Linked DNA regions of Nothobranchius furzeri. The protein of the gene in region 6 interacts with the protein of the main gene of each other region in a biochemical or structural test. Links are inferred from orthologs where the notes say so. Each region holds a gene or a part of one and is shown on either strand. Other genes may lie near its edges. The genes, in order: magi3a, disks large homolog 4, multiple PDZ domain protein, dlg1b, pdzk1 and crhr1.

Region 1 (3,500 bases), on a different chromosome or scaffold from region 6:
AAGGGTAAATCAATAGTGACAGAATCTGTTCAATCAGCAGGGGGCAGTAGACTCAAGTATCAGGAATCGTAGGCCTGTGTTACAGGATGGAAGGAGGTAGACCTACAGCCAGGGGAAACGTGTGTTTTAGGTTAAAGTGGACACTTACTTGCTGCAGATACAAATCCTCAAGTTTTAGATTCATGCAAACTTTTGGGTTTACTTTGGTTCTTAGTTTCTCCTCATTTGAATTTCTTACTTATGTTTAAAACAGATGTTGTACCAGGAGCTGTTCTCCAAACGATCCGAACCTTTGACTTGAGCAGCTTCACGTCATCACTCATTACCATCTTACCCAGGTGGGTCTGTTCCTATCAGAGCTGATGAGACGGACGACTAGTCTGAACCTGCCGCGACCAAAACGTGTTGCTGCTGAACTTAAACAAAAGCTAACGTGAAATGATGTCACGAAACTCTGCAAAACTCTTAAGTTTGCAACAAATATATACTTGGGTGAACTAATGTAAAGATTTTGGAGACTTGACCTGTTTTAAGAGCGCTTTGGTCACTTTGGAATATTTATCCAGTCTGATCAGAAAGCAATCTCCAACAGACTAAAGTGTTTTAGAAGTTTGATACAGAAACATGTGTTTATCCTCTAATACGCTTCATCATCCTTCAGTGGCTCCTTTAGCATAGGAAGCATGGCAGCATCCTGAAGAATGAGAATGTCCCTTCCCGAAACAGTAAAAACAGCACAGACACAACTGGTTATTGTGTAATTAAAAATACTAATGAAGACTATTTCATTACTTTAAGATTCAAGGAGCCGTTTACTGGTTTGTTTGAACATTTCCTGCACGTCAAGTTTTATTCAGCCGTTGCAGGTCTGTACTTCAGCACTCATGCACATCTCCACCTCTTCTCCTTAACCTCGAAAAGTCTTACAGTGCTTAAGAAAACAGGTCATTTTTGACTATGTGACTAGTTTTGCTCACATCTCACCAGGTCCTTTCCTCCGCTGGTCTTCACGCCCGTTTTCCTGCTCTCTTCCATTTTCAGCTCATTTTATGTTGTTTGTAGTATTTTATGCTTCGACTAATTTGGATTTCCTGCCGCTGATGTGCCGTTGTTCTACAAGCTAGTTCAAGTTTATAAATTCTCCATCTGCCTGCACATCTGCATTTCAGTTTCTAATCAAACGAGAATGTTGTTGCAAAGAATAGAAATGTTTTCTGGGAGCTACAAACGCTACAGTTACTAAACAGAACACACACACACACACACACACACACACACACACACACACACACACACACACACACACACACACACACACACACACACACACACACACACACACACACACACACACACACACACACACACACACACACACACACACACACACACACACACACACACACACAGATAGATAAGGCCCCCAGAGCGCACAGCAGAACCCGGCTCAGTGCATCTGATGTGTGGGTGCAACGTTGATCTCTTGAATCTAGGCTACTGCACTGCAGCAAAGGCAAAGAAAAAAGAACGAGCCCTTCAAATCTGTGAAAGCACGAAGCAAGAAAGCGAGTGGTGATGATTACCCACCACGCTCCTGCTCTCTCCATGCCTTCCCTTCCCTCCTTCTCTTAAGGCAGTGAGTGAATCAGTAAAACCGTCATCCCCCCCCCCCCCCCCCCCCCCTCTTCTTCCCAGCACTTGTGACTGCACTTTGCTTACTTCCTGTTTTGGGAGGTAGATGATGCAGAGCTGGCATGGACTAGAGCGTGAAATTGCTTTATTTAACAAGGAGTGTGTGTGTGTGTGTGTGTGCATGTATTCAAGCACAATGTGCTGCACACAAACCATCCTGTCATTTATAAATGAAAACATTTACACGATTCCGTCATTCTGACCTCCTCTAGACTCGGCAGATCTTAGACAAAGGGCGAATCATGCTGCTGCCTCACTGCTGAAGAAATTCATTTCAAATACAGACTGGACTGTCAGCCCATTGCTTTGTTGTTGTTGTTGTTTTAAGTGCTGTGCAAGCAACAGGTGATGCAAATCTGTGTGAGGGACACACTTCCACTTCATCTTTAGACTAGAGCCCGTTTGGTGTCAGAATAAAACTCTGGTTGATAAAAAAAAACAAAGTTTGCAGCATGACCCCTCCTTCCCGTGGACTCACCTCCTCTAAGCACCAGCACGTTGACCTCGCTGCCCACCGGCAGGTCTTTGAGGATGTCCACCACCTGGGAGTGGCTCAACGTTTGAACGTTCTGCCGGTTGATCTCCTTGATGACATCGCCCTTCAACAAGCCGCGGCACCACTGCGCATCCAAGATCATCTTCACCTTCTGACCCAGGGGACAGTCGGCAATGGCAAAGCCAAAACCTCCCGGGCCTTTGACCAATGGTACGCTCACCAGCTCCGGCTGCAACAGAGTGGAGTCTGGCCCTTCCTGGTTTAGGGTGAGAGGAAGGTTCTGTTGCTGCAGCTGGGGATGTGGAAGGCGTCCTCCTCCATTAGTCATGGGTGGAACTGAGGCTGTGTGCCGGGACAGGGTTCCTCCATCTGGGACGTTCTGTGGTGTGGAAGTGGACGGAGAAGAGGAGGCATCCTTCGAGGCAATGAGGCTCCCCGACACTTCCTCGCTGCTGCTGGAGTCGTCAGGAAGAGGGTAACCCCGGCACAGGACCAGGTCTACGTATTGGTTGATTGGAATGGACTGGAACATCTGCACCGCATCAGCGTGAGTCTTCCCCAACACACACGCCCTGTTTATGTCCACTATGACATCACCTAAAAGAAGAACAAAGAGCTTTCACAAACACTCCACATAAATGGTTGGGTCTACCAGGATTTGGACCTACAACCACCTGTGGGCTTTACAAAGAATTGTCTGAAAAAGAGAAAATCCCCAGTGAATGAAAACGTCCTCTTCAGGTCAGAAGTCAGGAGAATGTTCAAAGTAGTTTGAGATGCTAGAAAAACAACAGCGGCTCAGACAAGCCCTGGTTCCCGCAGGCGGCGTGGCTGGTGAGGGTGTTTGTGATTAAAACTAGGGGTGCTCCGATTGATCGGCCGCAGATAATTATCGGCCGATTTTCCTGCAAAAGTGTGTGATCTGTGATCGCCGATCGCTGCCTTTCATTTCCGCTCTGGCACTGGCGCTTACTCTTCCCGGCTGGTAGTTCACCCTTCCGCTTCTCCCCGCTTAGTGCGCATGCGCGTGGCGGCAAACCCGCGAAGACAAACAAGTCTGCCGTGCGGAACTTCTTTACGGTGTGCGAGAGTGATATTAAGTTTGCGTCTTGCAACACTTGCAACGAAAACATACCCCGCGGAGGAAGCACTTCAAAAAAATTCAACACGATGAATTTGATCCGACATTTAAAGACTAAACACTTGGCGGAGCACGGTGAGTTTTCGAGGCTCACCGCAGACAATGAAAAGAAGGCTGCTAATGCTAATGCAGCCACAGTCAGACGGCAGCTAACGCAGCCGACGCTTGGAA
Region 2 (3,500 bases), on a different chromosome or scaffold from region 6:
GTGTGTTTACAGCCATTAAAATGCACAAGAGTGTGTGTGAGGAATTCAGCGTTGATGAAAATGTCATTACACTGAGGATCTGATCGCCCTTGTGAAGCTCTCCGCTGAGATCGGCCGGCCCTCCTGCCAGGATGAAGGAGATAAAGATTCCTTCTCCATCCTCTCCGCCAACAATGTTAAAGCCCAGACCCGTGGAGCCTCGATGGATCAGAACTCGCCGGGGCTCCCTGAAACGTTTACCAACAGAGGCATCAATAAAGCTGAAAACTCAATAAGAAGGCACCACGCAGGAGAATGGTATCACCTGGGGATGTCATCGTCTCCCAGCATGCCGTGCAGAACAGGAGAAAACCGGCTCGGTGAGGTCGGAGTGAGGGCTTGTGGGTAATCAGATCCAAGATAGTTGGAGTGGCTCAGTTCAGTATCCATATGAGAATACGCTGCGGAAAAAGTTGTCACAAATCAGAGCTGTGATGTGGCGATAAACACGATGTCATTTGTCACAGGTGAGTTTAATCAGCAGAGTCTAAATTCTTATCAATTTACACGCTTCTATCCTTAGAATGTGTGAAACTTTTATGACTTTAAGAAGGATTGTGTTGGAAATCTGCATCCTACTAAAATCTGGGGTATAAAAGTGTCACCCAACTGTTGTTTAGCCCCAAAAATTCACAGTTTTAGTAGCTCAGATGATCACGCAAGTGACTAAATACTGCAAAAGTACAAAAGCGCATCAAATTTTCTGTGAGTAAACATTTTATTTATAATATTATATTATTTCTGAGCTAAATAGAAACTCCAGAGCTGAAATGTTGCATCTCATTTGTGTTGTCTGGCAACTCTTATCTTATGGTTTAGAAAAGAATGAAAAATTGTCTATCTGTAATCAAAGAGAAATGTACTCATCATTTTTATTAAATTAATGGTAAAATGCTTAGACTAAATGATGTGGCATTAATAAATTTTTGAAACGCGATGAGAAAAAGAAGTGCCACTAAAACCAGAGCGCGGATCTTACTGCTGGTGAGGTCTGGTGGGTTGTAGGAGTTGGTCAGAAACAGGTTGTTTGGCTTGGCCACTCTGAGGTACACCACCTCGCCCGTGTTCTTCAGAGCTCCAACTGCATCCTCGTGCATCACGTCCTCCAGACACACGTTGTTCACCTGCATGTTGACGGCAAGCAGGATTGCAAACAACTGCAGCTGTAGCGTAGACGTTCACCAGCAAATCCAAGCAGCTGAAACTTTATTTTACTCTAAATAAACATTAAGGTCAAGTTAGTGCATGCTACAATGAGATATGTATAACAATGTCTGACCTGCCAGTCAACATGTATTTATCCCCTTTAGGAGAACAGATGCTAGCACAAAAGCTTTCAGCAGTGAGCCGGTGGCCCCTCCATCTCTCTACTAACCAGACACGCATGCACAGGGAGCAGCAGATACCCAGGTATTAAGACATGATTAATATTAGCTAATCAGAACAATGCAATCAATATTTTATGACAAGTCTCAATGCACAAGAAATGCTGTCGCTGACTCACACACCATTTAGAGGAAACTAAGCTCCATTTTGAAGCTTTAGGTGTGAGTTTCTGTGTTGTCCACCAGACAGCAGCAGAGCTGTTTGAGAAGCATGATGTTGGATGTTTACAGTCATCCATCTGGCACATGCAGCATCATGTTAATGAGCGTAATGTCAGAGAGTAAAGCCTGCAGCTGTAAAGGCTTGGCTTCAGGACAAACGTGCATAATGTCTGTTTTAATGTGTGTGTGTTGCTATCTCTGCATCCATGTGCTTATTATTATATCTGCATGACTGACCGCTAAGATCTTGTCCCCGATCTGCAGACGTCCATCTTTGTGAGCCGCCCCGCCTTCGATGATCTTGGTGACGTAGATGCTGTTATCTCCCGGTATGTGCTGGTTTCCCACCCCTCCAGCGATGCTGAAACCCAATCCTGAGAAAAAAACCAAAGAGATAAAAGAAACACAGAGTGAGCAAAGAATTGGGGGACGCAGAAGAGATTTGCTAAATCCAGAAGGGCACAGCTTAGTTGGGCACATGGCGCCGCTAAGCCCACACAAAAGCCTCCGTGCTGGTAAACCAGCCCAGTCCTCCATGTACCTTTAGGCCCTTTGATGAGTTTGATTTCGGTGACTTTTTCTGCTGCTGGTTTTCTGCGGAGAACGTAGAGGCGGACAATAGCACCTGCCTCTTTCAGAGCCTCCACAGCCTGGCTGTGTGTCACCTCCCTCACATCGACATCATTCACAAATAGGATGCAGTCGTTCACACTGAGAAACAGAAAGTAGGCGACATGGAGAGAGTCGGTGAGTGGGAAAGTGAGAACAGCATGACTTTGGTGACTATATCAGGATAATTCTCCATTAGAAAATGTCAGAAACTAATTTTTAACATTTAAAGATGGTAGAATTTCTTCCTTGACTTGATCAAACCATAACCCTTATACCCTCCCAGTGCATTTTTTGTGCACATGGAGAAGAAACGTTAAAAAATTCAAGGATTAAATGCGGGTTAGTGTCGACATACGCTCCAGTATGAACCTTGAGAGCCATTTTTGGTGAGGAAAAAGCTTTGGTGCTCCTGTGTCAGGAAGTAGACATTAGTTGGATGAGAGGAGGTGGAAAATGGACATGGAGTCTTACTGATGATCATTCATGATATCCAAGCATCTCGCCTCTGATTGACTAACAGCAATGCAACTTTCCCACTGCCTTCATTCGCTCTTAAATGTTGTTTTATCTCCACAAATAACAGAAGCCTGAAGGAGTTCTGCCATGTTTTGGGGTTGCTAATGCTAACGGTTAGCTTCTACTAGCCAAGATGTGCTCTGCTCTCTCCTGGACACTAAACCAATAATAGCCTTCCAGTTCACGAGCCAAGATGGCAGAATGCTAATTTACAGTGTGATGCAGATCCGTGAGGCCTTTTCTGACCCGAGCATTTCATCGTCCACTTTCATTCAGCGGCTAATACAGGAGAAGTAAGGGACTATGTTCATGCTCCTCATGCACGTGGAGCTGAGAGACCGATCATATTTCTAAAAGAACAAGTGTTATACGTCTCAGAGAGCCTCACTCTGAACCCTCCACAGCATGAATTTTTGTCTTTTGGCTGAAAAAAAAATTGTACACCCCATATTTTTGGAGCTTGGTTGTCTCTGAAAATATAGCCATCAGAAAATTTGCCCCCCCCCCCCCCCCCCCCCCCCCCCACCCCCCAGAATCAGGTTTTCTGCAGTGGTATATCAGTGGTTTACCAACCCAAAAAATTATATATTTATTAGAAAACAAGTTTATTGGATCTAACCAATAAACACTTCAGTTTCCAAAAAAGCGTCTATGCATCAAACCTTATTATTAACTTATTTTCTTATTTATGTATAAAATATTGAAATTCTGTGTATTTAAATGTGCAAAACAACAGACTGATAGTAGTGAAAACATTTAGCAAATATGCTAAATAAAAAATAAGGC
Region 3 (3,500 bases), on a different chromosome or scaffold from region 6:
GTGTGTCTCACCTCAACCTTTACCACAGGATGAACATGTTCGGACGCATCACCGTCGTATTCTGCAGCCAGCTGAGGCTGTGAGAGAACAGATGAACATTTAAATAGAGTCAGATCAATGTGTCAGCCTGATATATTTTCTTAAGTGTTCTTAATGTTTATTTAAAAATTAAGTCAGGAATCAACGACATTTACTACAAAATTTCTACCATCTCTTAGTTCAAAGTAAAAAAAAGAATAAACACAGTAGTTCTCTAGGAAAATGAGCCCTATGACCCTGAGATAAATATATCATCAAACTGCACCTTAGTGTCTTAACGAACAACCATTAAATAAACTAAGCAAATAACAAATTATTAAAATGCTTAAAGTATCAGTCTTCCATTATCAGAAGTTCATTATTTTTTATTTTTCTGTGTTTTAAGAACAGCTAGCTGTGTGGTACTGTCACCTGTCTTAACCTCTGAGGACCAATGTCCACATATGGGGATGCTGACTGCTTGCAATTAAATATTTTATAATGCCGGTTTTTATTGCCAAGTTTTAATTAATCTTTTTTACCTTATTTAAGTTCAAATAAATTTAGAACAAAAAAATTTTTTTAAACTCATTATTTATTTAGTTATTATATCCTAACAAACCATTTCCGAGTTAATTGAAAATCTATTCATTTTAGTCCTTTGTTAAAGTTAAAGTCCCAATAGTTGTCACACACACTTATGTGTGTGCGACATTTGTTCTCCGCATTTGACCCATCCCCTGGGGGAGCGGTGAGCTGCAGAAACAGCCGCGCTCGGGAACCATTTGGTGGTTTAACCCCCAATCCAACCCATTAATCCTGAGTGTCAAGCAGGGAGGCATTAGGTCGCATTGTTTCAAAGTCTTTGGTAAGACCCGACCAGGAATCGAACCCTGATCTCCCAGTCTCAGGGAGGACACTCTACCACTAGGCCACTGAGCTTTGACAGCCCAAACTATGTACTGGCAGCTTAGAGCCGTACAAACATCAGAAATCGGTATTGGCTCTCAACACCAGAATTGGTGCATCTATAAAACTACCTTGTGCTTTTTAATTTAAAGGGACTTTTCGGAGTTTTGAATTTTTATGCTCGCGATTGCCCCCTCAGGCCAAAAGCTTAATGGCAGCTTCAATAGTAGGCTCGTGCACGAGGCGTGCATGCTGTACGTGTACACTCCTTAATGAAAATAACAGCTGAGACAGTCCCGTGTGTGTGTGTGTGGCCCGGAGGACAGAAGAACACAGGAAATTAATAAAAATAATGTCCCTCTGTCTCTGCAGCTGCACTTTCTCGTCAGCCGGCCGAACGTGCAGTGTGTGTGTGTGTGTGTGTGTGGCCTGGAGGACAGAGGACAGGAGAACGTGCAGCTAATTAATTAAATAATTTGGTTCTGTACCTTTCTCTTCAGCACAGCCGACAAAGGTTTATGATGGGTCAGTCCTCCTGCATGCTCAGATCATTCCCTTCCCTTGCTTGAAAAATTGTTCCAAAATGAAAGTTGAACCCACATCTTTTTTACCTGTGAATTCAACGCCGTTCGGCAAGTCTCAAATAAAAATCTGGGTGTCTTATTACTGTAAAACAAATTATCACTAATGTAAAAAAGAAACTCTTTATTCACACCCAGAATTTAACCCAGGTCTCCTACATGAGAGTCAGACGTCTCACTAAGTGAGCTAAAGTGCCAGTGACATTCTTTGTATCTGTAACGTTTATACCCTTGATGACAGCTGAAACAACGTCAATCCAAAGAACGGTCCGGAGCGAAAATGGCTATTTTGTTGCTAATTTGCAGGAAAAATCTAGAAGAAAGTAGCTAATGGTCCTCAGAAATGTAGCTAGGTTCATCACTTGTCGCTGTGTTGGCACTACCTCACTCTCTGCTGCTAAAGCGACGGATAGCAAATGCTACGGGCGATGCCTGTGCGTGAACGCGCATGAAGCAGCCTGCTCGACCCGAGCAGCTCTCTTTTTCTGTGATTTTACGGAAAAACAGGCAATCACAGTAAAAATGCCAGGGCTCATTCTACAGGACCAGGGCCTTGCAGGAGAATGTATGAAGAAGAAATTTATTATTTCTATACATGTTTTGGCTGTCAAACTTCCATAATGCCCCTTTAAAGTAGAATTTTTTAAAACAAGCAAAAATAAAACACAAACAATTAGCCCATCAGTAAAACTAATATTTTAAAACCTTTTGGTTAAAACCCAAGTTATTAGTTGCATCTGGCACTAAAACCTACTGGTATTATTATTCATTCTGTGGCAGAAACTTCATGAATATTTGCAACAATTGGAATGGAAAACTGCTAAAATTATCATTGTCTTTTATCAGCTTAAATGTTAAAATGACTCATTTTTGCTCATAAGTACAAGGAGCAATTTCAACTGAGCCAAAGAACCATGAGTGGCGTCAGAGCCACAGGATGCAGACCATTTCAGTAGGTCATTAGGAGTCTATTTTTATAAGATGGAGGTAAAAAAAAAAAAAAGAATATGAAGTAGCTGCGTTAATTTAAAAAGAAATCAGCACATCAGTCTCATTAAAATCCACACTGGTCCACCTCGGCATTATGAGTTTTCCAAACTACAGTTTGAGGTTTTCTGGGTGTTTAGGGAGTTCCCTCGACCACACAGGGGGATAAACACAGAAGTCAGATGCATGACGCAGAGTAAAAGCCTAATTATTGTACAAGAAGACCAGAAGTAAAGTGAAGTCAAGCGTCACTTTCTACCAGCTGCACGATGGGAGTGTGTTGGGAGTTCTTGTGTTTTATGATCGCACCTCAGCAGCGTGGGGCTCCTCTGCGCCTCCCTCGTGCTCTCTCACAGGTCCCACAGCCATCTGGTTCAGTGCCTCCGTGTTCCTGTTCCACAGAGTCATAACTCACGTAAACCACTGCTCCTCTGCTCCGGGACAGAGGGAATGGTAATATACGCAGGCTGCTCTGTGTCTGTTTCAGCAGGGGGGGGGGGGGGGGGGGGGGGGGGTCAGGACTGGGATGTGAGTTAAGTAGGGGGGTTAAGTAGTTGGATCCTGGATAAGACTAAAACTAGGGTCAGAGGTCAAACATGTCCCTGGTGATGATGAGGCTGAGAGTCCGTCTCTGTTTCAGGCAGCAGAGCAATTATAGGTAGTAAAACTCATCTTTGATCACAAAAAAGCTGCTTTTTAATCATTCTGTGAACAACTAGTTAAAACATACCAATAATAATTACTATTATGTTTAACTAGCAGACAACTAAAATTATATTGTTGCTATACATTTTTAAAAATGTTGTGCAACACTGAGCAAATCTGTAGAATAACAATAGCTTCCTCTGGTGGACATTTAGAAGAATTACACCAAATACAACCGTTTTTTTTTACCTGATAAAGATGATTTTGACTTTGGATGAGGAACTCTTGATAATAGACGACGCATTCTGATGGCTGTGGCCATAAAGAACGTGTCCGTTGATCTAACAGGACAGAGATGAG
Region 4 (3,500 bases), on a different chromosome or scaffold from region 6:
CCCAGCAGCCAGTCCTTTGTGTCGTTTTAACGGTTTTTCATTCAGACTAAAAGCGAACCGTTAGTGAGAGATTCTGATGTTTTCTGGGTTCTGGAGTCGGTTCTGATCTGGTGGGAGTTGAACCGCCTGTCTGAAGCCCGTTGACTTGTAGGCGGAGTGTTTTCCACGTGGATCCGTGTCTCTGGTGCTGCCGGGTTAGGACAAATCTCGGGCTTTGGACCTTTATTTGGAATTAAAATCATCACACCTGGTTCTGCTCCTCAGATGGGTCTGCTCTGCTAGAACTGGGTCGGGTCTGTGATTATTGAAGGTTCTGGTTCAGATCTTGTCTGAAGATCAACAGGAATGAGTCTGACTCTTTTCTAATAAAATGATCCATTAGAACCGTAGAACCCGTAGGGACGGTTCCGGGCTTGGAGCTCGTGTTGCTTCTGCAGAAACATCTCAGCGTTCCTCGACTCCTCCAACCTCTTCCGATGAAAATCCTCTTCCTCAGGAACTATAAGCGACATGAAACCCGAGTTCTGGTTCTGACCCATAGCTGATGGTCCTCGCGTGTTCCGACGTTCCCTTCATCTGCTCGTTGCTGCTTCTGTTTCCTTGAAAAGTTTTTAGACTTTTTATGATTCCCAGAATAAATCCCTGTGACCTATGACCTTAATCTTGCGACCACCAGATTTGAATCCCGTCGATCCGATCAGGCTGGAGGAATAAAACCGTTCGGAGCGTTTTTCATGTCTGGAATTCTGGGATGGAGGAACCAGAAGGCTGGAGAAGATTCCGTAGCCTAAATGTTTGAGGGTGAAGGAGCGGGTTCTGCTTGGAGCCTGGCTGGAAAACCGAGCCTGGAGCAGCTTTAAAGGCCAGCGGTCTGAGAGGAAACATCTGTGCCTGCTGGCGGTCAGCTCCTGCTTCCATGGTTATTTTAGACGTTCCTTCTCTGGAAGCTCTGAACAGAGTCCAAAAATAAAGAAGGCATCGGTGCTAAAATATCCCCCTGGAAAGACTAATTATCTCCCACAGAAGGGAAGGGAATTACGGGAATCATGGGATTCAAATTCTCCCTGAATTTACCTCCAAAATCCCACAAACAGGAACTTCTGGTTTAAAGATAATTGGCTCATAACGATTTCACTTCCAATTAGGGTTGTCACGGTGTGAAAATTTAACCTCACGGTTATTGTGACCAAAATATCACGGTTTTCCGTATTTTTTTAAACGTGCTACATTTTCAGACAATTAAATAAACCCTGTATATCAGGAAAATATTGTCCTCAGTTTGTGTCAAAATTTTGCCTAAAACGTGTTATTTTGTAATTATGTTGTTTATTTGTTTACATTTTTTCCCTTTAGTCTTTAAAACACCAATATTTGCCCATAACTTCTTATTTTTTGTCTGCTTGATGTCATCATTTTAAAAATATTAGACCAAATGATACTCAGTACTCAAGTAGCCTTCTAATCAGATACTTTTTTACCCTTACTTGAGTAATAAACCCTATATCAGGAAAATATTGTCTTCGGTTTGTGTCCTTCCAGTGAGCTTTGCAGATGTGGGAAAATGTCATCAGGCAGTAATCATTGTTAAATTCATAATTATTCTCGGAGAGAGACCAACTCTTATCTGCCCCTGGGAGCCCCGTAATGCATAGCGTCATTTCAACATGGGGGTGTCCGCAACACGGTTTTTATGCAGGCTGCTTTAGCGACTCGTTGCATTCTCCCTCCACCCAAATCCTCGGATCACACATTTTAGCTAAAACGCTAACGTTAGCTTGCCTTGCGTTGACTGTAGAGTTGTGGGTGATGGTCACGCAGATGTGTCATGAGATATGAGGCGTTGCTGCCTTTCACAGAAACTTTTTCTGCACGTGCTGCAAACAGGATAGCCGTCTTCTATCAAATGTCCCTCGGCATTCTTCAAATATCCCAAAAAAATGCCCACACTTCACACTTTGTCTTCTTTGAGGGATAATAAATGTCCTGAGCGCTGCCGTCTCCTCCTTTGGCCATTATTTCAGCTTTAGCTTCAAGAAAGTTTGGATTTTAAACAACAAAGTGCGCATGTGCCGCCTGCAACTTCAGCAGATGATACAGTGGCTGGTAAGGGTCACCGCGCCTACACCACAGCCACGGTAATCCACCGAGATAATATTTTTTTTTTAAAACAAGACGGTTATTATTATTGTCAATTTTTTTATTGGGGTTTACCGCTACACCGGTTACCGTGACAACCCTACTTCCAAGCAAATGAATCAACTTTGAATGGTTAAATTTAAGTGAATAGAAACAATTTTATTCTTAAAGCACTACAGGAAGTAGAAACCGTTGCTGTAGAGTCTAAATCTGAAGTTTCAGATGAATATGTTCAGATTCCCTCATCCCAATCCCGATTAATGTGTTTGAGTTCCCAGCAGCTGCTTTTATTCCTAAATAATTCCCGTTCTGATAATGTAATCCTCTGGTTCCCATCATCTGGGTCGGTACGGGTCGGGTCAGCAGAGAAAAGAGATGCTGCTTTTTCTTTTTTAATCTTTATGAAATGTTGATCAGGAGCTGAAGAAGACTCCTGTGGTTCTGGTGCTGACCCAGTTCTGAGGTCTTGTATGTGCAGTATGTGAATCGGTACCGGTCCAGTTCTGATCAGATTAGTTATCAGTAGTGATGTCCCAATACAACTTTTCACTTCCGACACAACACCGATATGGCAACCTTCAGTACTGACCGATACCAGCAGGAATGCCACAGTGATTTTACTCATTCGGAGAACAAGAGCCGATTACAGTAAGTATGAAAAAAGTGACACTTTTTTCTTTACCTTTGTTGCAATAACTGTATTTATATGGGAGGTTTTGATGCCGCCCGATATAATCTGATTGTTTTTGGGCCGATATCGATATCAGAACGGGACTTCCCTAATCATCAGGTTTATGGATTCCAGACGAGTTTCTGCAGCTTTCAAACTTTTAGTTTATGGTCTGATTAAAGCATGTCCCTGTCCCTGTCCCATGCTCTGTCCTCCCAGATATCCAGGAATTTTACGAAGTGACCTTATTGGACAGTCAGAGATGGGCGGAGTCTTCCAAGGGGGCGGACCCCATGGCGCCTGTCCACCTGTGGGACTTCCCGAGTCTTCAGAGCACAACGGTGACCTCGGAGACTCTGCCCAGCCTTAGCACCAGCATCGAGGTAAGATGACGAAGAAGAAGAAAGAGCTTTTCTATAGCGCCTCTCAAGATAAAAGTCACGAGGCGCTTAAAGGCGTAAGAACAGATCGGTCCTGCTGGAACTGGTCGGAACATTCTGGACTCAGGCGTGTTTCTCTCATGTCCCGGTTCTGAAGGTCCAGTAGATGCACAAAGAGTTAAAGTAGAAATGGATAAAACTAGAATTTTAGATAAAGCAGAACTGAAGCTGCTCTAACAGAACCGACTCCCAAGTTCTCCTGTGAGGTCCTCAGGATCTGATCGGACAGGAGAAATGGGTCGGTACCGGTGGTT
Region 5 (4,035 bases), on a different chromosome or scaffold from region 6:
TTCTTTAACCCTTTACAAATGTACCTTACCTTTAAATGAGCTAATGGAAAACCCAAATCCTGACTTAGATTTGACCAGGTAGCAGAGTTTGGGCTTCCAATCTTCTTTAGCCAATCCGTTGGCAATGGGTGAGCTTTGAGGGTCGGAGAGGTTCACTCCGAGTGTTTTTGCTTGATTGTAAGACGATTCATCCAGAATGTGGAATGTGACAGATGCTCCACTGTTTCTCACCAGCTCCACCACCTAGTAGAGGGACACCATGGAAATTCACTGCTGGTGATTGGATCTGCTGTGTATCTACATTCTGCTCACCTCTGAATGGGTAAGCCCATCGACAAATTTTCCATTGACCCGAAGGATGCGGTCTCCATCTTTCATACCAGCCAGTTCAGCTGGACCTCCCATTTCCAGGCAGCGAATCAGGTGGCCCTCCTTACTTTGCTCCACCCTCAGAAAGAAGCCAAATGTCTGACCAGGCCTCTTGGCCAGGGAGATCACCCTTGGCGTGTACGTGGCCATTGTCCTAACATGAACAAAGAAATAATAAACGGTACTTAACAGAGATGCAAGAAAATGTTGAGACAATGTAATATCGCAATATTCTGTATGTATTGTACTTCTTTTGTGTGGTGCAATTCAAACTCCGGCCGCTAGGTGGCAGCAGCTTTTACTGCCTTCATTCTGACAAACCAGCGAGATCTCACAATAATACTGAATGTGTCTTGGAAGCATTTGGCCTCAGTTTTCAAATAAAACTGTTTTAACATCTGCAAATATTGTCAGCTTTTAACTTCACAGTAAATCATATCGTCTCCCTTGTATTGCACACACACACACACACACACACACACACACACACACACACACACACACACACACATATATATATATATATATATATATATATATATATATATATATATATATATATATATATATAGTTAAGTCTTAGGCGTAAGGGGTGGGGGGACAACCGAGGACCAGCGGGAATCTTTTCAGTATGTTCTAATGGGAAACAGGCTTCAACACAAACAGTTGTTTTCCACTTGGTCCTAGAGCTCAACCAGTGTCTACTTAATATAGAGTAATATTGTTTTTGGACGATAAAAAGTGCAGGGGTCAAAACATGACTTTGGCAAAAGTGTGCGTGGGTGTGGGGTGTGTGTGTGTGTGGGGGGGGGGGGGGTGACATGCCCCCCCCCCCCCCCCCCCCAACCACACACACACACCAAAATTTATATCCATGCATGGATTCACCCATCTTGACTCGTGATGGGGAAGGCTGTTGTTGGTTTAGCATCCAGGAATCAGCAGAGAACGTCTTGGCTAGTGGAATCTAGTTAGCATTAGCAACTCCACCACACAGCAGAACTCCTTCAGGGTTGAGTTATTTGTGGAGATAAAACGTTAACTTTTGTCACGTTGCTGTTAGCCAATCCAATGCAAGATGACCAAATATCAGGAAATAAAACTACTAATCTTGTTGTCTGAAGCTACTTTCTCCTTCAGCTTACTTCTCTGTGCTGAAACAGGAGCATCATAAATTAGAATCCATTTCTTTCTGCTAGAGATCATTGCCGATGCATTGATTAACTGAGTGTTCCACACCTTTAAAGTGTCAATAAATTTGACCAAGCCAGTTAAGCCTTAGACTTATTTTGGTTTTAGAGCTTTGAGATTGGAAAATGCAATCGAACTTAAACAGCTGTTTTTCCCCTTTACATTTGTTGACGATCATAAATTAGTTCACCTTGTAATCTATTGTGCTACGCATTAAGCATATTTATCAGAGTGGATACTTCAGCACATAAAGACGTGACAGAAGTGCTGATAGAGGATGAAAAGTTACTCTTCCATGACAACAGGCATGTAATGATTTGCAGGACACACAGCTGACAGTGAAATAAAAATCACTGGACTTTGAATCCAAATTAAGGGTTGTGGGTTTAACTCTCAGCGGGATGCTATAAAAGGCAGGTGTGCTTATATTAAAAACGCAAACACTCATGTCTTAAACGAGATTCATTGCAACGTTTAAGAAATTTGTAAATTAATAAAAACTTTGGGTTTGTTTTCATGATGTATTAAATACAAAATGTATTTTAATTAGTTTTAACTATTTCAATGTATAATTTAGGCAATTAAATAATTAAAAACACACTAATAACAACTTAAAATAGAGTTATGACCTTTATCTTAGAGTTAAAAAGGTGTAATATTTATTTTATCCTTATAAAAGAAATGTTTAGCTGTATGCTTCATTTGACTTTATTAATCTTGTTTTTTTTACTTGTGCTTACAGCTGAAGTATTGATACAACTATTAAAAGTTTAATAGTTATTTAAAAGCGGTACATATTTGTAATGTGGTTATAAAGTTTACGTCGTATTAGATTTGATTTTAACAGCTTTTTCACCAAAATATAAAGCTAGTTTAATATTAAGAGCCCCAAAGAAGTAGATTATTCTGTTCAATACTTAAAAATTGGAAAATAATATCAATAAACCCAAAGCAACAAACAGTGATAACACCGTTTTTAACTTGTTGATATTTTTTCACCTGTTAAAGTATCAGAGGTTTTCCAGCAAATGATTAAACGTGTTCTTTAATCTCCACAGGAAACCTTTATGAATCTTAAAATTTCCCCAAATTTATTTAAAAAAAAGTATAACAATAAAAAATAAAGAGTAAAATAAACATTTCACTCACCGACTCTCCTCTGTTGAGTGTCTGCGTCTAAAGGGGGAGCTCACCTGTCACTGATTAGCTGTTATGGCATCTTAAACCTGCACTCCCCCCTCCCCACCTCCCTAAGGGACTTTGACAGGTCAAAGTTCAGCCTAAAGAGTTATTTAACAACGTCTTGTGTCATGAGTGTCTGAGGCTCTTTGCAGTCTGTCGAGTGCGAGCAGTCATCTATTTATTTTTCAAAGTTTGCAGCAGGTGGCTGCTGAACAGCCATGTTCACACATCATAGTCAGAATCCACAAGACTGCATCCTGTTTATGTTTATTTATCTAAAATTCATGAATAAAACACACAGAAGAGGCCATCAGCCATTAAGATTAAGAAAACATACTTAGTATCTGATTTATGAAAGTTTATGTTGTGGAAAAACAACATTTAGCAAAAATAAATGTCCAATTAAATTCAATATGGATATTTTTTATTATATTTTCATGTGTGGTTTATTTATTTTTTATTACTTTTATTAGTTTGATTTAGATAATCTCTAGCACTCAGTGAAGAGAACGAGGATTTATTTCACAGAGGTTTTATTGTAGTTTGTCATGTACGTACTCCGTCTACAAGGTTTTTTATGATGTTCCCAGTAAACGTGGGTGTATTGTTTATTGTTACTGTAGCTGTAGGTATGAAGGTCTTGTACTGCTGTCATATGGACTGGACAAAGGTGTGTTTTTACAGAAACGTGTCATAAATGTCAAATTCTAGGAGCAAGCATGAGGACTTGGACACTAGGGGACTTCATAATAGCATCTCAAATATTTTAAAATAAAGGTAAGCAATAACTAAAATTACAAATTAAATTAAATGAATCATGAAGGAAATAATCATCTGTCTTTACCTTATTTGTGGCTGATATAGGACATTTTTTTCTAAACTAGATGGAAACTTTTATTTTCATTTTGATTCTGCTTTAGTAAAATATCAAATGATTCTAAAAAAATAAACTTCTTATGCATGTTGGAAAAACACTGATTCTGTTATAAGCTCTAAATCATATTCAGTGCATTGATTTCTGTCAGAAAACCTTTGAGTTGGCACATTTTCTTTATTTTTTTGGCACACTGCTGCCCTTAATAGGGCATTACCACTAGAAGCATTAAGGCACATTGATAGAAATTAGTCGCTGATGGTGGAAAGATGCAAGGGCATCCATTATCCAGGTTCCGGACAGCCTGCAAGAATGTGGATCACATTACAGCCTCCTGTTCTATGCTGTAAGAAGTGCAGCACAAACTGCACACAGTCAAAAGTGTCTCTTTCAAATTTACAAGGGAAAACTGTTAAATT
Region 6 (3,500 bases):
ATCCCTTTAGTTATGCTGCTGGAGGACAGACTGACCACATTTATTCATTTTGCTGCCTTTACTCTCCATGTTTTATTTACTGTTGTTGCTGCCAGTAATCTCCAGCTCTCATTGGAGCGGTTCGCAGCCGAGTGTGAAGCAGCTGGGATGAGAATCCAGCCAAGTGGCTGGGGAGAGGGGAGAGCAGGCAGCAGAAGGCGACAACATCCTCTGCTGCCCACGGATAAACTGAGTAGGAAGTGACGCCACCATCCGTGTCAGCTCTGAAGATGTTTGCAACCGCAAACGAAATGTCAGCAAGGTAAAGAAAAACCTTATCTGTGTTTAAAAAAACAAAAACAAAAATGGAATTTGAAGACAAACACAGCAAGAAAGTACAAAAGATGGGGAGAGGGAAGTCTGGGGCTCCCTGCTTAGCCTACTGCACTCGTGACCCGACCTCGGATAAGCGGCCGAAAATGAATGGATGGCTTCCATTGATTTGGTTTTCTCTATTTTTTATTGAAAACTTGACAGGGCCAACATTTCTGCATCAGTGTCTCTTTCCCGTTTCCTCAGACTAAAGATGGTTCATCACAGTTCTATTTCTGAAGGACGTTTCGTTCCTCTTGTTAAATAATTAGCATGATAACAGAATGCTAACCTGTGTCACAGTCACCTGCCTTCAGCTTTGATCATGCTATTAGGATGATCTGTTCAATATGTGGGCTGTTTGTCCGCTTCGCCACAGGTGTATCGGCTTAGTGTCAAACACTTGATTAAAGACCATGAGCTTTAATCCAACTAGAACAAGACCTGACTCCTGTCAGCTTTTCACATAATCAAAAATGGATATATTGAGGCGTGTCCTGTCCACTGAGTGGGAGGAGCCTAGATAATAATAAAAGATAATGCAGAACTTGCAGCTGCTTTTGAATGATCATCAATAGTGATGGTTTCAGGGGTCCAGTCCTGTTTCTCTGTTTTAACTATACAAATTATGTTTATTGAAGCTACTGAATCATAGCCTGTATTGAAGTTTACTTGTGACAATGTTGAAGTGTGTCCTGTTCAACCCTCCCATATTAAAACTAAACACTCTCTGTTCAAAGAGTTTCCCTCCACTGTTCTGCTCAGGATGAAGGGCTGTGTTGGTGAAGATTAGATAAAATTTGCTGATTCCAGTTTACATGATCTAGATTATAATCTAGCTGGATCTAAATCTGGGCTGGATCTGAAACTGTCTCACTAATTTTTGTGTAGTGCTTTGAGGAGACCAGTGTTGTTACCCGATATAAAAGTCAATTGATCTGGGTTCAGTCAAAACTAATCTGTTCAACTATTTGTCCAAGAAGGCAGCATAAAGATTAGTCATAATCTCACAGACATAAAGAAAAAGATCTTAATCCTTTAGGGTGGGCTTACCAGCAGGACCAGGATCATCGGACCTTGGTAGATGTAATCTGTATAAACACCTGCCTTCTTTCCAAACCAGCATCTTCCAGTTAAAACACAGAAACCATTAGACATCAATCAGACAAATATTGAGATTGTGACATTGTGAACTGATGAAATTCTGGATTTTTGTCCGCTGCAATGAAACAAAGTCTTCTGTTCAACATACTTCATCAGGAACTCAGTGACATCCTTAACCTGCAGAGTTCAGGTTGGTGTCACATGACACCTGGCAGGTACAGATGTGTTGCATTAACCTGTGCTCCACTTGGACCACTGAGACATAGATTCAGTGTTTTTGTGTGACTCACTTCTCATTGTCATAGTACAGCTTCCCAAAAGCCCAGGCCACAATGACAGGAAACGGAATACCTATGACCAGAATGGATGGACGGGTGAGAGGACAGAACTGGCGGGAAAAGGGAGACGGCAGAGCAGGTGGAAAAGGTGAACAAACCCCAGCCAATGCAGATGAACATCCACTTCCTGAGCTTGTCGGTGGAGTAGGTGAGAACAACGGCAGTGTGAAGGTAACATCCCTCACCGAACATCCAGAAGAAGTTGGTGACATGAAAGTAATTATATGCTGCTGTCACCAGCTTGCACCACGCCTGAGGTGGGAGGAGGAGGAGGACAAAGGAAGAGGACAAATAAAGAGGAAAAAGAAGATTTAGGAAGGACAAGAGATTGAGAAACAAGGATAAGGAGAAAAGAAGTAAGAAGGGAAAAGGAAGAGAAAGAGGATAAGAAACAGGTAGGGATGAGGGGAGGAAGAGAAGAGAGAAGGGAGGTAGATTAGGAGAACAGAGCTGTTCCAAAGGATTGTGGGATTTGTAGTTGTACTGGTGTGGTTAAGGAGGCTGTTTAAGAAATTGGCAGATGAGAACAACCAAATGAAGGAGGAGGCCTAGATCGGTGCATGAGTCATTCATGCTAATGAACAGCACATTGGAAACAGACCAGCTGGAACTGTGTGGGAAGGAAATTCTTTTAATTGCTTCATTATTAACTCCTCCGAAGTGCATGAAATATTTACACCTCCAAACATCTTCCTGTCCTCGGAGAATCAATGTCTTCAGATTTCAGTGAAGTTGTCCTCTTTCACTGAGCTCTGACAGAACTGACACTCTGGCCTTTAGCCCTTTGCTCTGATCCACCACGATGTCTAATGTTCTCCTACATCATTTATAAATGTCTTCAACTTAGTTCTGTGAAGGTTCTCTACATTCTTGCAATATACAGACATAATGTTTATCGTACAGAGGAGACTCACACATGTGTCACAAATTAGCATTTATTATATCACTGAGCTGAGAACCAGCTCCTCTAAGGCCTAGTCCATACGTAGCCGGGTTTTTTTAAAAACGAATATCCGCCCCTCCAAAAACTTGCATCCACACCACCTCGTTTAAAAAAAAAACTCTGTTCACACGTACTCGGATAAATACGTTGTTAAGGACATGCCAGACCTGTAGGCGGCAGTGCTTCCCCCGTTCTTAACCTCGTCCTTCGTCTGTGGTCTTCCACAAGGAGCAGTAATTCCGCTTGCAAAAACAAACAAGCAGAAAGCGCTTGGACAATTGATAAAGCGAGCGCAGCTCTGTGGGCATCCATGCTGTCGGCTAGTGTAAACACAGGTCGCACACGTGATGTCAGCATTTTTTTGTCGCGGAACGTGACGTTGCGGACCTTAAAGCTCCGGTTTTGTCTGTCCACACGCAGACACCCAAAATGGAGAAAACGCAGGTCTTCACTTTGGCCAGAGTTTTTAAAAAGATCCGTTTTCGTGTGAAAAAAAAAACTCAGTTTTCGTGTGGATGACAGGCCAAAACGTAGAAAAATATCTAAGTTTTGGCAGATCCCCGGCTACGTGTGGACAGGGCCTAAATCTGAGACCATGCTCTTGAGTCAAAAAGGGGTAGAACACCTGTTCCAGGTCAGGGACAAGTTCCAGCCCAAAGAGGAAAGTTTTAAAAAGGAGAAGAAGAAGAAGTTTATATATATATACCACTTTTCACAGACACAAGTCACAAAGTGCTTCACAGACAAAAAGTAAATCAGTATAT

The links.
Region 1: the proteins of crhr1 (region 6) and magi3a form a complex in vitro, tested with the Homo sapiens proteins (2 studies listed by BioGRID and IntAct, with this or other methods). The link is inferred for Nothobranchius furzeri from reciprocal best matches to the Homo sapiens genes CRHR1 and MAGI3.
Region 2: the proteins of crhr1 (region 6) and disks large homolog 4 form a complex in vitro, tested with the Homo sapiens proteins (2 studies listed by BioGRID and IntAct, with this or other methods). The link is inferred for Nothobranchius furzeri from reciprocal best matches to the Homo sapiens genes CRHR1 and DLG4.
Region 3: the proteins of crhr1 (region 6) and multiple PDZ domain protein form a complex in vitro, tested with the Homo sapiens proteins (2 studies listed by BioGRID and IntAct, with this or other methods). The link is inferred for Nothobranchius furzeri from reciprocal best matches to the Homo sapiens genes CRHR1 and MPDZ.
Region 4: the proteins of crhr1 (region 6) and dlg1b form a complex in vitro, tested with the Homo sapiens proteins (3 studies listed by BioGRID and IntAct, with this or other methods). The link is inferred for Nothobranchius furzeri from reciprocal best matches to the Homo sapiens genes CRHR1 and DLG1.
Region 5: the proteins of crhr1 (region 6) and pdzk1 form a complex in vitro, tested with the Homo sapiens proteins (2 studies listed by BioGRID and IntAct, with this or other methods). The link is inferred for Nothobranchius furzeri from reciprocal best matches to the Homo sapiens genes CRHR1 and PDZK1.

Annotation. Positions count from the first base shown.
Region 1 is NC_091755.1:38,365,285-38,368,784, forward strand, and holds part of magi3a (membrane-associated guanylate kinase, WW and PDZ domain-containing protein 3a), read right to left. Parts: intron 2,786-3,500; coding exon 2,171-2,785; intron 1-2,170.
Region 2 is NC_091750.1:46,505,815-46,509,314, reverse strand, and holds part of disks large homolog 4, read right to left. Parts: intron 2,298-3,500; coding exon 2,128-2,297; intron 1,961-2,127; coding exon 1,824-1,960; intron 1,164-1,823; coding exon 1,019-1,163; intron 441-1,018; coding exon 305-440; intron 228-304; coding exon 71-227; intron 1-70. UniProt on the Homo sapiens protein: Postsynaptic scaffolding protein that plays a critical role in synaptogenesis and synaptic plasticity by providing a platform for the postsynaptic clustering of crucial synaptic proteins.
Region 3 is NC_091742.1:68,620,705-68,624,204, reverse strand, and holds part of multiple PDZ domain protein, read right to left. Parts: intron 3,482-3,500; coding exon 3,390-3,481; intron 2,887-3,389; coding exon 2,805-2,886; intron 78-2,804; coding exon 1-77. UniProt on the Homo sapiens protein: Member of the NMDAR signaling complex that may play a role in control of AMPAR potentiation and synaptic plasticity in excitatory synapses. Promotes clustering of HT2RC at the cell surface.
Region 4 is NC_091751.1:34,938,310-34,941,809, reverse strand, and holds part of dlg1b (disks large homolog 1), read left to right. Parts: intron 1-3,025; coding exon 3,026-3,189; intron 3,190-3,500. UniProt on the Homo sapiens protein: Essential multidomain scaffolding protein required for normal development. Recruits channels, receptors and signaling molecules to discrete plasma membrane domains in polarized cells.
Region 5 is NC_091754.1:24,604,905-24,608,939, forward strand, and holds the start of pdzk1 (Na(+)/H(+) exchange regulatory cofactor NHE-RF3), read right to left. Parts: upstream 2,801-4,035; 5' UTR 2,710-2,800; intron 524-2,709; 5' UTR 520-523; coding exon 313-519; intron 244-312; coding exon 30-243; intron 1-29. UniProt on the Homo sapiens protein: A scaffold protein that connects plasma membrane proteins and regulatory components, regulating their surface expression in epithelial cells apical domains.
Region 6 is NC_091746.1:33,510,673-33,514,172, reverse strand, and holds part of crhr1 (corticotropin-releasing factor receptor 1), read right to left. Parts: intron 2,046-3,500; coding exon 1,892-2,045; intron 1,807-1,891; coding exon 1,746-1,806; intron 1,478-1,745; coding exon 1,405-1,477; intron 1-1,404.